2 linked regions of the Elephas maximus indicus genome follow. Each later gene encodes a partner of the first gene's protein in a complex. Links are inferred from orthologs where the notes say so. Each region holds a gene or a part of one and is shown in the gene's direction. Other genes may lie near its edges.

Region 1 (7,069 bases):
GGGGCTCACAGTTGTCCTACCATTTGAGATGGGCTGGCAGTTGAGGAATCCCGCCCATCTCATGGGTGGGACAGCTCATCTCCCCTACACCTGCCACTTCTCCCCTCAATTCCACCCCTTCAGTCAGCCAAGGTACTCTGACTGAGCCCTGGGGCCTCCTGTTTGCATTTCTAGCTCAAAGACTGCAGAGGTCCTTTGCATGCTGCTGGGGCTCTGTAGCTCATCGGTGCTGCTGCTGCAATGGCCCAGATCAGGCCATAGTAATGGGGGCTGGTCAGGGGGCCTGAGATGATAGCAGAAAGGGAACTGCTGTGGGTGAGTCTGAAGTCTCCTGTGCTAAATCCTAGCAGCTGAACAGCACCTGAAGGTTTCAGAATCTTTTCACTCTGTTCTCTTACTGTGATCCACGAGGTAGCTATTATCCCCATAAGGGATGAGGAAGCTGAGGCTCAGAGAGGGGAAGTGCTAGGTCTCTGCTCACACCTGGATCTCATGGGCCAGTGGCTTCCTGGAGACAGCAGAGCTGGTGGGTGGGGTCTGTGCATTCAGAGGGTGGACAGTTGCCCCTGGGTCTTGCTCACTGAACTTGTGATGCAGAGTGCAATTCCTGTCACGGTGAGCACCATGCCTGCAACTGCTTCTGCGATAACAGGCGGAAATGGAAGAGCTGTGAGCCCAGCCATGCCAGCAGGAGCTAGTACAGGGCTGGGGAAGGGTTTGGGGCATCTGGTCCCAACTCCTACCCCAACCTCTGTCCCCAACCCAGACTGCCTAGGGGAAAGCAGCTCTAATGGCCACAAGGAAGCAGCAGAGGCTGGACAGCCAGAGGAGCCGGGCAGAATGGAGAAGGGCCTCTCCCCACCTGTCCATCTTTCAGTTAGCAGCACACCTTTTTTAACCATTTGGGCTCTGGAAAAGAACTAATGTGGGTGTGTCAAAGCCCAAGTAGCTGCTTCCCACACTCCCAGTGGCCTGACTTACGTTTTCCACCAATATCTTCTCCAAGTACCTTTCCAACAACCAGCGTGAAGACGACGGCCAGAGAGTTACAGATGGGCACAGCTAGGGTTAGATCTGGGTAGTCAGAAGGAGAAGAATCACTGAGAGGCAAAAAATGTCTTTCTAGGCACAAAACATTTTGGTTTCATCATCAAGACGGCCCTTTAAGAGAGGGATCATGACCGCACTTTCCAGATAAGTCACAGCAAGCTTAGGACTCAAGCCCAGGTCTCCTGACACCAAATTCAGTGCTTCCTCAGGATTCCACCATGAAGACCTGATCCCCAAGGTCTGGGACCACCATGTTTTGATGCTGAGGATGAGGTCTTTGCATTCAGCTCCTCAGAGCTCAAGGGCATCTGGGAGTGCATCAGGCCAGCGGTTTTCAAGCTTTCTTTAAATGAAATTTTATGAGAAGTCCAAAATGTAAAATACATGAAAGTGGAGTGACTCTAGAGAAAGCTGGGGTGGCAGATCTGGAGGCTGGCCTATCTCCTTGCCCTCTCATGGCCTCTGAGGGGTTCCCCAGAACTATCTGGGGTCCAGACTCCCCTCAAGTCCCTGGGGGCCTGGGTAAGACTCCAGGGGAGGCAAACCACTGCAGGGGGACTTCTCATAGCAAAGTTCGAGAGCATAAAACTTTAAATAATCTATGGCTTCAGATCCTCTGCACTGACATGTTATGGGATTAGGTGAAATAAATTGGCCAAAATTTTGTAAGCTCCTCTCTGAATGGTGATAGTCATGTCTGCTTCACAGGGTCATGATGGGAATAAAATGTGTAATACAGTGGAATATAAGTCCTGATCCATACTATGACATGAATGAACCTTGAAAACATTATGCTAAGTGAAATGTCAGCCACAAAAAGACACATAGTATATGATCCCAATAATATGAAACATCTAGAATAGGCAAAGGTGTAGTGACTAAAGTTTATTAGTGGTTACCAGTGGTGGAAGGGAGAGGAGAAGGCGGAATCACTGCCTAGGCGGCAGTGAGCTTCTGTTAAGGGTGACAGAAAAATTTGGAAATGGATAGTGATGATGGTTGCACAACATGAGGACCATAATTAATGTCACTAGATTGTACATGTAAAAAAATGTTGAAATGGCAAATATTTTGTTATACATATATTTACCACAATAAATATATTAGAATAAAAAATAATAGAACGTGTAAAATTAGCACAGTATCTTTGCAATAGAGTCCAGTCAACAAATCTTAGGGAAAAGGAAATTCATATTTATTGAGCTCCTACTGTGTGCCTGACACTCTGCTGGATGCTTCTCGTAAAGAAAAAAAAAAAATTTTTTTTTTTTTATATTTAATCCTCACACTACGAAGCAGGTCATATAAAACTGAGGCTCAAATAAGAGACTTGCTCAAGGTCGAGGAAGGTAGCACACGGTAGAAGTAAGAATGTCAAAGCCAGCACAGCAAGATGAACCTTCTTCCTCCTCCGCTGCTGCACAAGACTACCAGGCTTCACACCAACCCTAGTGCTTGATAGCATACCAAAACCAGCCTGCTATGCCCCTACTGCTCAGAGAAGAGGGTGCAACGAGGAAACCAGAGACAGTGTTCTCCCTCACTGTTGGGAACAGATATTTCAAGGTCCTTCCCAAAAATTTCTCTCCTGGGTGACCTTCACCACTAAACAGAATGGTTCCAAGCCAGAGACCCACCTGTGGATGCCAAGGTGAGGTAGTAGAGAAGGGAGCCACACTGGTTGAGGAGAAAGGGCATCAGGTACTGGGAACAGGAGAAGCTACAGTAAGTGTGATTGCCAGACTGGGTAGGGCAGCACTGCCTTCTTCGAGCTTCTAGCATATGCCTTTCCTTGGAGGGAGAGGTGGTTCTAAGGGCCCAGGGAGCACTAAGCCCTCAGAGGACCTTTCCAGGGCAAAAAGGGAAACAGTTACTGACTGAACTCCATGCTTTTGCCCTGGAATGCCCTCTCCCTCAGCTCTGCTAGCTCCCATCCTCCCCATCCTGCAAGGCCTTGAGTGCATGCCAATGTCACCCCCTCCAGGAAGCCTTCCTTGAGTCCCTCCAGCTCCAGCCTCCCTCCTCTAACTCACACAGCACCGTCATCTGTACCCTTCATACCCTTAGTCCTGAGATAGGTGGATGTGTCTACCTCTCGTCTTTACCACTAGCTTAGGCTGGCAGCCTTGGATTCAGGAGCAGTTCTCCACATCCTCTTTTCCCTCCATCCCCAATTTGAGCGCCAAGCTCTCCCTCTGGAAAGGTCTGTTGCAGAAATCACAATCATAAAGTAATAATAACAGCCATGAATTGAGCACTTATGTACTGGGCTGAACGCTAAATTCTTTTATGTGGCTCATTTCACTTAATCCTCATGACTGTCCTATAAAGTAGGGCATTATTATCCCCATTTTACAGACTATGAAAACAGGCTCTGGGAGGACAAGTGTATCTGCCGGACAAATGGCGGAGCCAGGATTCTGGCCCAGATCTGTTTGATTCCAGAAATCAAATCCTTAGCAGCCACCCTCGAGAGGCAGGCCGTTCAGGGACGCACCTCAGTATTCAAGAAGAGGGTCTTCATCTCCTGCAGCAACTGCTTGGCCCAGGTACGCTCATGAACCTGCTGCAGGCCGGCGGAGGCCCGCTTCAGCAGCGGCTGCGTGCCACCCCACAAAGCGGCCACCAGCACCAGGGCCAGCACCTGCCCTGAACGGAGGTTCCGGTCATTTCACCCTCCCCAACCTGCTGCCCGCCTGGCCCGGCCCTCCCCAGCCCTTCATCCAGACCGGGCCCTTCCCTGGCCTTCTGTCCTGGCCGCCCCCCACCTCCCTCCTTCGCGTGATTGGCTGGTAGGTCAGGCCCCGGGAAGCCAGAAAAATTGAACCAGCAGCCTGGGGGCTGGGATTGTGGCAGGGGTGAGGGTTGGAGGGGTGGAGGTGGGGTAGGAAATGAACTCTGAGTGTGGTCTGCGAGGCCATGGAGGGGCGGGGTCAGCTACCCACCAAGAGACGCCGCCATGGCAACGTCACTACCTTCTACTTCCGGGAACGGATAGGCGGAGACCCATAATCCGGAAGTGGCTCCAAGGCTTCTTCCGGTCCTACTCAAGCCGCCGCTCTTTAGCGTCACCGCCGGCATGGTGAGTTCCACTGAGGTGGGGGTGCTGGCTTGGGGGTCCCAGGCTGGGGCAGGAACCCGATTCCGGCCGCTGACACTCTCGTCCTGTCTCCACAGAAGCCGATCCTGCTGCAGGGCCATGAGCGGTCCATTACGCAAATCAAGTACAACCGCGAGGGAGACCTTCTCTTCACCGTGGCCAAGGACCCTGTGAGCCTCATCCTGAGGGCCGGTGGGTGGGACCATGCGGAGGGGAGCTGCCAGGGTGATGGTTGTACAAACTAATTTTGCCGCTAGAGGGGACCCAAACAAAGATCGCACGGTTCTGAGAACCAGGGAACCAGGGTAGGGGAACACACCACCCCTTCTAGAGGAAAGCTGATCCATGGGCCGCGAGGGACACAGGGGATTTAATGGGGTGATGGCGCAATGGTTAAGCACTGGGCTGCTAACCGAAAAGTTGACGGTTCGAACCCACCCAGTGACTCCCCGGGAGAAAGACCTGGAGATCTGTTCCTGTAAAGATTACAGCCTAGAAAACCCCGTGGAGCAATTCTACTCTGTCACGTGGGGTCGCTGTGAGTCGAAATTGGCACCTAACGAGTTTCATTTCATTCAGTGAGCTCACTGAGTGCAAACAGTCCCTCGTGGTACTGCCTTTACACAGAATATTAACACTAATGCTTAAAAGTGGGGCTCTCAACCCAAACAGACCTGGATTTCAATCCTGACTGTTGGATCTGTTAGCATTGTGACTTTGAGTATGTCACTTAACCTTTTTAAACTTCCAAGTTTCCGTTTTTATAAAATACGGTGCAGCGGTTAAGAGCTCAGCTGCTAACCGAAAAAGATGGTCAGTTCTAATCCACCAGCCGCTCTCTGGAAACATGGGGCGGTTCTGCTCCGTCCTATAGGGTCGCTATGAGTGAGAATCAACTTGAGGGCAGTGGGTTTATTTTTTATATATAACCCCAAGCTCCCTCACGGGGTTGTCTTTAGGATTAAATGAGATCATTTATGTAAGGAGCTTAGCACAGTACCTGGTGCATGTTGTTGTGTGCCATCAAGTCGATTCCAACTCACAGCAGCCCTATGGTGCATATGAGTGGTTAATTAGTGTTAGTTAGTTATATTTAAGCTCTTTCGACTTCATTTCATTGATGCCTCCCAGTTACCCTTTGAAGAAGACGTTATTCTTATGGCCACTTTACAGATGGGAAAAGCGAAGGTCAGAGGGAAGAAGTGCTCTATTTGAGATAATACAATGATAATCCAGTCCCTAGTGCCAGTATGAACACAGGCTTCCCTACTGCCAATTGCTCCCATTGGGACAGGACACCAAAGCTGTTTTTTTTTGGACTAGAGCTCAGCTTGACCTTTTATTCTTCTGAAGGTCTGGGAATATGTGCAGTGACAAAAGAGGACACTTTTGTAAGCCTCCTGACTCCCTTGTTTACCTGCCGGCATCTAGAGGCTGCTGAGGGTTCTGGGGTAAAATAGGCCACTGCTCTGCCTGAGATGTTAGCATCCTGTCATTTGATTCTTCCAGATCGTCAATGTATGGTACTCCGTGAATGGGGAAAGGCTGGGCACCTACATGGGCCACACTGGAGCTGTGTGGTGTGTGGATGCCGACTGTATCCTTACCTTTACTCTTTGAGTCTATGTTCCCAGGTCTGCCAGCAATGGAGAGGTTGCTGAGCTTGGGGCTGGTGGTTTGGGATGCTGTTGTGGGTCTAGAGAATGATACCTCCCTCTCTAGTCTCTTCCCTGGTTGGGCAAACGTTTGGGAAAACTTCCAGTTGTGGATAAGGAGGTGCAAATGCTTTGAGGTAGGAAGGGGGAAGAAAGACTGTTTGGAACTGAACATGGAAGTGATTCACTTGGCCTCCCAAGAGGACAAGGGCTCAGGCAAACCTGGTCTTGTTCCTTAATACGCACTTCAGGGGACACCAAGCATGTCCTCACTGGCTCAGCTGACAACAGCTGTCGTCTCTGGGACTGTGAAACAGGTAAGCCTGGGTCATTCACTTTTTCAGCAAACATTGAGTACCTACAGTATGCCTTTTTAAGTGAACAGGTTCTTGGGAAATAGAAACAGAAGAGAAGATAAGGAAGACAGATGAGAAAAGAGGCACTTCGTTAAGATAAAAGCCATGTTAGAGGAAGCATAGAGTACTGTAGTAGGATCAAGGGGGCAACTGACTGCCTGGAGTAGAGGCGGGAGCAGCCAGGGAAAACTTCTCAAGGTACACGTAATATGAGCTGGGGCTGGAAGGGTGAAAGAAGGTCATCACTTTGGCGCATGCAGGAATGAAAGCATAGCAAGTGTTAAGCCCAAGTCATCTGATCTCGCTGGAGTTCCTGCTTCTTGGGTGGTGAAATAGGTAGACAGTAGAGAAGATGAGGCTGGATAGGTAGGCTAGAGCCAGAACAGACGTTGAGTGCCAACTCAGGAGCGTGGCTTTGTTCTGTAGGCCTTGGCAAGCTATGGAGGTCTCAGAGCAGGGAAGTGGCAATGTGTTTACTTTTAACAAGTTCAGGTAGCAGTGGGCAGCGTGCATTGGAAGAGCTAAGACTAAAGACAGAGAAGCCTGTTAAGCTGCTTCATTTAGTACATATTTACTGGGCACCCAATTCTGTCCCAGGCACTGGGGACACGCAGAGAAATTAGACCAGGTCTCTGCTGTGGAGGAGCGCAGTCTAAGGGGGAGACAGATGATTGCAATCCACCATGAGCAGCACCACGTTAGCTGATGTCGGAGGAGAGATGAGGGGAAGAAATTAAGACTTGAGCCAAAGCAGTAGCAGTGAGGAAGAGGAGAGGGGTGGATTGGAGTCACTGGAGCAGGAGAAACAGTGGCATATGATGCTAGCCAGGTGTAAGGAGTGTCTTCCCATGATGGCAGTGGGCAAAGGGTAGCCCAGACTCTGTCTGTCGCCAGGGAAACAGCTGGCC
Region 2 (7,913 bases), on another chromosome or scaffold:
CGGTGGGACCATGCCAATAAGGTCTATGGAACCTCTATGAGGAGATTGGCCAGTTTTGCCATCCTGATATGCTTGAAAGAGAGCCAATCCCAGAGCAGAAGGCACGTCCTCACTACCACTAAGAAAGAAAAGCTAGGAGTGTATCACGTCCTTTGGACCCAGAGTCCTTGTGTCGAGAACTTCCTAGACCCAAGAGACAGAGAGAGAGCTGTAATACTGTAGACAGTGAGAAGCAGTGGCAGAGAAATGGTGGCAGCAGAGGCAGCAGAACCAGGAAATCAAGCAGTGGGCTTCCTAGCTCACAGAGTGAGAAAGTTGAGCACATTTGGGCAGGAGGCTTGCTGGTGGAATGGGGTGCGTCCAGGTACTTACTGACAGAGCTAAAGAGCTTTGTAACACTTGCTTGAGCAGAGTCTGAGGCTGAAGAGCCAAGGGCCAAAAAGAGGCCTGACTGCAGGCCCAGCTGAGAAGATGCTGTCCAGATTGAAGAACTATATCCTGAGTTGTTCCTGACTGTGAATTGTAACCTGTTACTTCCCGAATAAGCCCCATAATTGTGAGAACCCAGCAGAGAAGTGGAGTGCTGCGGGAGGGACAGCTGATGTCAGAATTGCTAAAAAGGTTGGAGAGAGGTGGTATGTTTGACCTCTGTCTCACAGTAAATCAGCTTTAGGCTGATGCTAATAGTGATTCTCTCTCCATCGAGACGTTAGAGAGATCAGACACTCACACCATTTTTAACATCAGTAAGTGGATTGGATGTAGGGTGTGAGAAAAACAGAAGAGTCAAAGATGGTTCTGCAGATTTGGGGCTGAGCAACTAAAGGAGTAGAGTTGTCTTAACTGTTGTTGTTAGGTGCTGTTGAGTCAGTTCCAACTTATAGTGACCCTATGTACAACAGAACAAAACACTGCCCCATCGTGCATCATCTTCACAAATGTTGCTATGCTTGAGCCCATTGTTGCAGCCACTGTGTCAATCCCTCTCCTTGAGAGTCTTCCTCTTTTTTGCTGACCCTCTACTTTACCAAGCATGATGTCCTTCTCCAGGGACTGACCCCTCCTGGTAAAATGTCCAAAGTATGTGAGACATAGTCTCGCTATCCTAACTTCTAAGGAGCACTCTGGTTACACTTCTTCTGAGACAAATGTGTTCATTCTTTTGGCAGTCCATGGTATATCCAATATTCTTCACCAACACCACAATTCTAAGGCATCAATTCTTCTTTGGTCTTCCTTATTCATTGTCCAACTTTCACATGCATATGAGGCGATTGAAAACACCTTGGCTTGGGTCAGGCACACTTTAGTCCTCAAGGTGACATCTTTGCTTTTTAACACTTTAAAGAGATCTCTTGCAGCTAATTTGGCCACTGCAACGCGTCTTTTGATTTCTTGACTGCTGCTTCCATGGGTACTGATTGTGGATCCAAGTAAAATGAAATTCTTGACAACCTCAGTCTTTTCTCCATTTATCATGATGTTGCTTATTGGTCCAGTTGTGAGGATTTTTGTTTCCTTTATGTTGAGGTATAATCCATACTGAAGGCTGTGGTCTTTGATCTTCTTCAGTAAGTGTTTCAAGTCCTCTTCAATTTCAGCAAGCAGGGTTGTGTCATCTGTATAACGCATGTTGTTAATGAGTCTTCCTTTAATTCTGATGCCCCATTCTTCTTCGTATAGTCCAGCTTCTTGGATTATTTGCTTAGCATACAGGTTGAATAGGTATGGTGAATAGATACAACACCACTGTACACCTTTCCTGACTTTAAACCATGCAGTATCCCCTTGTTCTGTTCAAACGACTGCCTCTTGGTCCACGTACAGATTCCTCATGAGCAGAATTAAGTGTTCTGCAATTCCCATTTTTTGCAATGTTATCCAAAATTTGTTATGATCCACACAGTCGAATGTCATTGCATAGTCAACAACACACAGGTAAACATCCTTCTGGTATTCTCTGCTTTCAGCCAGGGTCCATCTGACAACAGCAATGTTATCCCTGGTTCCATGTCCTCTTCCAAATCCGGCTTGACTTTCTGGCAGTTCCCTGTCGATATACTGCTGCAGGCGCTTTTGAATGATCTTCAGCAAAATTTTGCTTGCATGTAATATTAATGATATTGTTTGATATTTTCCACATTCGGTTGGATCACCTTTCTTGGGTATAGGCATAAATATGGATCTTTTCCAGTTTGTTGGCCAGGTGGCTGTTTTCCAAATTTCTTGGCATAGACGAGTGAGCACTTCCAGTGCTGCAAGTTTGTTGAAACATCTCAGTTGGTATTCTGTCAATTCCTGGAGCCTTGTTTTTTGCCAATGCCTTCAGTGCAGCTTGGACTTCTTCCTTCGGTACCATAGGTTCCTGATCATATGTTACTTCCTAAAATGGTTGTCTTAACTGAGGTGGGGAAAAGTATGGGAGCAGCAGGTTTGAGCCAGGAGATCAGATACTGAATTTGGACGTTTTAAGTTGCAATGTGACTAGGCAAGGGGTCATGGGCCCACTTCCAGGGCAGGGTCTGGGATGGAGAGATACGTGTGAGGAGTCAATGGCATATGGATGATATTTAAACCTACTGAACTGGATGAGACAGGAAATGAAGGTAGAGAAGAGCAGAGACCCAAGAACCAAGCCCGGGGAGTGATCTACTATTTCGTGATTGTAGAGATGAAGAGGGGCCAACAAAGAAAGTGAGAAGCCAGTAGCCAGTGAGGAAGGTCCTCTTGAAGCTTTTACTATTCTAATTTGCATTGTGATTCTCTAAATTAAAGGGTACGTTCTGCAAGAGTTAAAAAAAAAAAAAAAAAAACCAGCCTTTGAGTCAATTCCGACTCATAAGGACCCTGTGGGACAGAGTTGAACTGCCCATAGAGTTTCCAAGGAGCACCTGGTGGATTTGAACTGCTGAAGTTTTTGGTTAGCAGCTGTAGCTCTTAACTACTACGCTACCAGGGTTTCCCTGGAAGAGTTAGGAAACCATAAATAAATGAGTGAATAGATGAATGAAGAATGAATGATAGATGGTTATAAACAGGTAATCCAAATTTTGTGGGGCCTGAAGCTTTCATTAGGAATAAAGAATAGAACATTACAAAAATGAAACTAGAAAGAGAATATTTGTCTAGAAAGAGAACTCACAACCCAAATTATGTGAGAAATCAAGCAATTGCAAATTTTAATATGCTCACAAATACCACAAAATCACAAAATCCAGAAAAGTAACATTAATTGGTGGAAACACCTCCACAGTTTTTGTTTTCTTCTGTTGGCTAACCTCTTTATATGACAACAATTTTGTATCATCATTTTCCATAATGAGAATGGAAAAATGCTTGTGTTTCCTCATTAGAACAAATTTTTATTTTATTATTTATAATTTAGAAATCCTTTTGATTTCACAACTCTGTATTATTAACATTTTGAGGAATTATCAAATTTGGAGAGAACTGTATGAAATTTTTGTCATATATGAATTGTAAGATCTCACATATTTCAAGCTTTCTTAGGCTCTGATTAATCTTAAATATTCCTTTAATTGACGACACTCATTGACCACAGTGGATGGTTAGGTGTATTCCTACAAACGAAAGGCCAGCAACGACAACTATGCACAGAAGAGGCAAAGTACTTAATTCAAATGTTCCCCCATTGGATTTCCTCTAGCTGGATCAACAAGAGCAAGTGCGACAGAGGGGAATCCAAGTGGAAAGATAGTTTGGTCCTAACAACCAATTGCAATAAATACTATTTTGTAAATTTTACAAAAATACATGACCACGTGAGGACATTGTTAGGGGCTACCCAGAGCCATGGAAGGACTCTGGGAATGAAGGGGTCCCAAAGCGTAACCTCCATTAGTTCCATGGTGGCAATTCGACCATAGTGCGACGGGGAAACACAAAGCAGGAAAGGGCATAGGTAGTTGGGACGGGGCGTTGTAATTCTAAATGGGATGCTCGAGTGATAACTTCAGAATAAACACTTGAAGACAAAGCGAGCCGTGCGGTATCTGAGCGGGCTGCATTCTAGAGTCCAGAGGCAGGTAACTGTGAGTGCAAAAACCCCGAGGCGGAGTGTCTCTGGATGGGAAAAGCAAGGAAGGCAGTGTGACTACAGGACGCGGTGGCTGGGGCAGAAGGGGTGCGACACGCTACGGGTCACACAGCAAGTCACATTGGAACCCAGATCACCTGACTAGTGTGTTGGGAATGAGCCGATGGCTAAACTAAGGTCCTTGACCGAAAACAGAAATAAACCCACCACCCGGGATTCCCTTGTTTTATAACCTCCATCCCTAACTCGAGGGTTTCCGAGCGACTCGAATCCACCCCACGACCCCTCCCCGACCACCACACACAGACTGGGCGCTCAAGCGCAGCACAGCTCCCAGGACTCGCCCCAGGGCCTCACGCCACAGCTGGCTTCATCTTTGCCTGCTCCAATTTAATGCCCAAAGTTGGGGGGCACCTTTTCATGATGACCTCTCACTCAGTGGGACCGAGGCTCAACTTTTCCACCCAGTAAAATTTGAAACCAGAACGTTTGAAAACGTTGCTGGTCGCAGGCAACCCGTTGACGACTAAATCTGCATTCAGACCCCGTTCATCCGGCTTTTTCTTCACGCGAGAAGGCAGCCCGAGGGAGCTGTCAGCCATTTTTTGTGTGGCATTCCTTCTTGTTTCCCTTAATTTGCCCATTGTTTATTTATGATGAAATAGTTCACGTCCCTATTTCTGATTTATGCAAGTGATATAAAATGTCCCCCCTTGCAAAGTCTCTATTTGGAAAGGGAAGAAAAAATTTAGGTGTTTCGTAATTTTTGCCCTTCTTAACGTGGCGGTCTCAGGGTGCCGGCGCCCTCAGAAAGGCTTCCGGTCCCCGCAGGGCCAAGCGGGGTAGAACTTCCGGAGTCATCACGCCGGCGAGGGCTGGTCTTTTCGCTCTCTTCGGCGGTGTTCCGCTAGCGCCGCAGCCATGTCGTATCCCGCTGATGATTACGAGTCTGAGGTAAGATGGGCCTAAGCGCGTGGCAGGGTCCGCGACATTGGCAGGGCCTTTATGGATGCTGGGGCCCGCGGGGAAGCGGCGTCTTGGCCTTTCCCCGAGCCCCCGTGGGCCGCGGCCAGCTCCGGCCTGCCTCTCCGCGCGGCCCTTAGAAGCCACAGCTCGTGGCCCCTCACCCGCCCTGTGTCTGCCCGCCCGCTTCGTGTGTTCGGTGCCCTCGTCCTCCCGTTTGCCAGGACTGCGGCCGGAGGGCGCTTACGCCCTATTCCTATCAGGCTTCTCTTTCTGGGACTGAACGCTTTTTCTGGGCCTGGGTTTAGTCTTGCCAAACCCTGCTGGCTCCCACCGTCCTTGTAGTTTTCTCTAGCTTATTGCCCCGGTGACGTTGCGTTGTCATTGTCTGTTCTCTGTTTTCTTGCAGAAATGTGAGTTTCTTAAGGGCAGGGACTGCGTTTTATTCAGCTTTGTATCCATTAGCAGCCTGCTTGGCACTTGGCAGGAATGAACATTTTGCATTCACAGATTGGTGACTGTTCTTTTCTGTGCCTTTGTCGTTCTAGGCCGCATATGATCCCTATGCTTATCCAGGCGACTATGATATGCACACAGGTGAGACCACGGGTTTGTAGGGCTAGGCGGGCTCTCCTGTGGACCCGTGCCTTTTTGAATGGCCTAGAACAGCTCTGACGGGTACCTGTTAAAAATGGGCTTGTCGATGGTCCAGGTTTAGAGTCAGTTGTTAGCTTTCAGTGGGAAGGTTGTATGGACCCTAATAAACCGGGCCATGTTTGTGGTCTACTTCAAAGTCTCAGAGGAAGAGCCCCACTGACTGGCTGTGGTTTCCCCGTTTAAATTGTTAGCAAAAAAAGAGAATCTTGAAGTGAAGTTTAAAGTGATTAGAACTATGCCAAAATAAAATTGAGGGGGGGAAGGTGGGAGGCTTTGAGGGTTCTTGAAATGTTGGAGTGAGTTGGCTTGCCATGAATTGTTCTGAGTACTTTATGAGAAGTGTTTCATTTAATTCCTAAAATAGTTCTGTGAAGTACATGCATTAATGTTTTCGTTTTACAGATGAGAAAACGGAGCACTTAAGGGTTTAGTGACATGATATAGTTAGGTACTGGCAGTCACTCAGTCATTCAAAAAATATTAAGTGCCTACTACCTCTTGTCATCCTCCACCCCCCAACAGACATACACAACTGTTCTGGCCCCTGAGGGTATACCTGGGAGCAAGACAGACCAGGTTCTTGCCCTCATAGACTTTAGGTTCTAGTGGGGGAAACAGATGATAGGTAAATGAGTAATTTTAGATAGCGATAACTGTTCTGAAGAAATACAGCAGTAGGGTCGAGATGATTTGTGGGGGTTATATCAGAGCGTTCAAAAGGTTTGTACCTGATATCATAGACTTGGGAGTCTCTGGGTGGTGTAAATCAACATGCCTAGCTGCTATCCAGAGAGGTGCATGTGCACGCAGGGGCCTCTTGGAAGAAAGGCCCGGCAATCTGCGTCCTAAAAATCAGCCATTGAAGACTCTACAGAGCACAGTTCTGCTCTGACACGTGGGATCACCATGAATTGGAGTGATTTGATGGCAGCTCTAGATTTTTTCATGGGCTGGAGTTTCGTTTGGGATGACTTGGGGTGGTCGTGCCTTTTGTTACATCACATATGTGGGTCTGGAAGCACTTTGTGTTTTATCCAACCTCTAGGAGATCCAAAGCAGGACCTGGCTTATGAACGTCAGTATGAACAGCAGACCTACCAAGTCATCCCTGAAGTGATCAAAAACTTCATCCAGTATTTCCACAAAACCGTCTCGGATTTGATCGACCAGAAGGTGTATGAGCTACAGGCCAGTCGTGTCTCCAGTGATGTCATTGACCAGAAGGTCTATGAGATCCAGGACATCTATGAAAACAGGTATGGGCTACTGGCTACATTGACCTCTCTCTGAGTGGGCCTGGCCTACAGAACGGGTGATGTTCAATAGTTTTTCTGTGAAAAGAATGTTCAGGGGGGTCTCTACGATTTCTTGGAGATAAACAAACAAACAAACAAAAAACCAGGCCCCGTTGCCGTTAAGTTGATTCCGACTCATAGCGACCCTATGGGACAAAGTAGAATCGCCCGTTGGAGTTTCCAAGGAGCGCCTGGTGGATTCAAACTGCCGACCTTTTGGTTAGCAGCTGTAGCTCTTAATCACTACACCATCAGGGGTTTCTGTAAAAGCCAACCCCATTGCCAACTTATAGTGACCCTATATTCTTGGAGATAGGGACATGTTATTTTGTTGGACCCTGCTTCCCCAGGAACTTGTATAATATCAAAATTAGTGATTATAATAGCAATTATCATTTATTGTTACAGTAGTGGTATCAGTATGAACTAGGTAGTGTTCAAAGTGATCTTCCTGTATTTATTCATTTACCCTTCACAGTAATCCCATGAAGTTAGGTACCATTGTTTTCCTCATTTCACAGTTGCAGAAACAAAACAGCGAGCATAAGTCAGATAGCTAGTGAAGTGGATGAGCTGAGTTTTAACCTGTATAGTCTGATACCAAAGCCAGATTTCTAAACCCCTGTGCTGTGCAACCTCTCGGTACATACTAGGGTTAGCCAGCCAGACTCTGGAGTGGTTTCTTCAGTATTGAGGCTAATTGCCATTGTGTAAAGGAACCCTGGTGGCTCAGTGATTAAGAGCTCAAATGCTAACTGAGGAGTTGGCGATTTGAACCTACCAGCTGCTTCACAGGAGAAAGATGTGGCAGTCTGTTTCCATAAAGATTACAGCCTAGGAGACCTTATGGGGCAGTTCTCCTGTGTCCTGTAGGGTCACATGAGTCAGAATCAACTCCACGACAGTGGGTTTGCCCTTGGGTAATGGGCTTTAGAGATTAG

Evidence for each region. The genes of interacting proteins can lie anywhere in the genome.
Region 2: EIF3I (region 1) and EIF3L share a complex: the UniProt entries of both Homo sapiens proteins name them as parts of the eukaryotic translation initiation factor 3 (eIF-3) complex. The link is inferred for Elephas maximus indicus from reciprocal best matches to the Homo sapiens genes EIF3I and EIF3L.

What each region holds. Positions count from the first base shown.
Region 1 is NC_064821.1:73,124,115-73,131,183, forward strand, and holds the start of EIF3I (eukaryotic translation initiation factor 3 subunit I), read left to right. Parts: upstream 1-4,129; coding exon 4,130-4,132; coding exon of another isoform or gene 4,133-4,227; coding exon 4,228-4,320; exon of another isoform or gene 4,321-4,342; intron 4,343-5,659; coding exon 5,660-5,747; intron 5,748-6,056; coding exon 6,057-6,122; intron 6,123-7,055; coding exon 7,056-7,069. Other genes in the region: TMEM234 (transmembrane protein 234), read right to left, coding at 546-640, 982-1,074, 2,688-2,754, 3,548-3,699, 3,996-4,251. UniProt on the Homo sapiens protein: Component of the eukaryotic translation initiation factor 3 (eIF-3) complex, which is required for several steps in the initiation of protein synthesis.
Region 2 is NC_064822.1:181,743,432-181,751,344, forward strand, and holds the start of EIF3L (eukaryotic translation initiation factor 3 subunit L), read left to right. Parts: upstream 1-4,910; 5' UTR 4,911-4,978; coding exon 4,979-5,011; intron 5,012-5,568; coding exon 5,569-5,617; intron 5,618-6,722; coding exon 6,723-6,933; intron 6,934-7,913. UniProt on the Homo sapiens protein: Component of the eukaryotic translation initiation factor 3 (eIF-3) complex, which is required for several steps in the initiation of protein synthesis.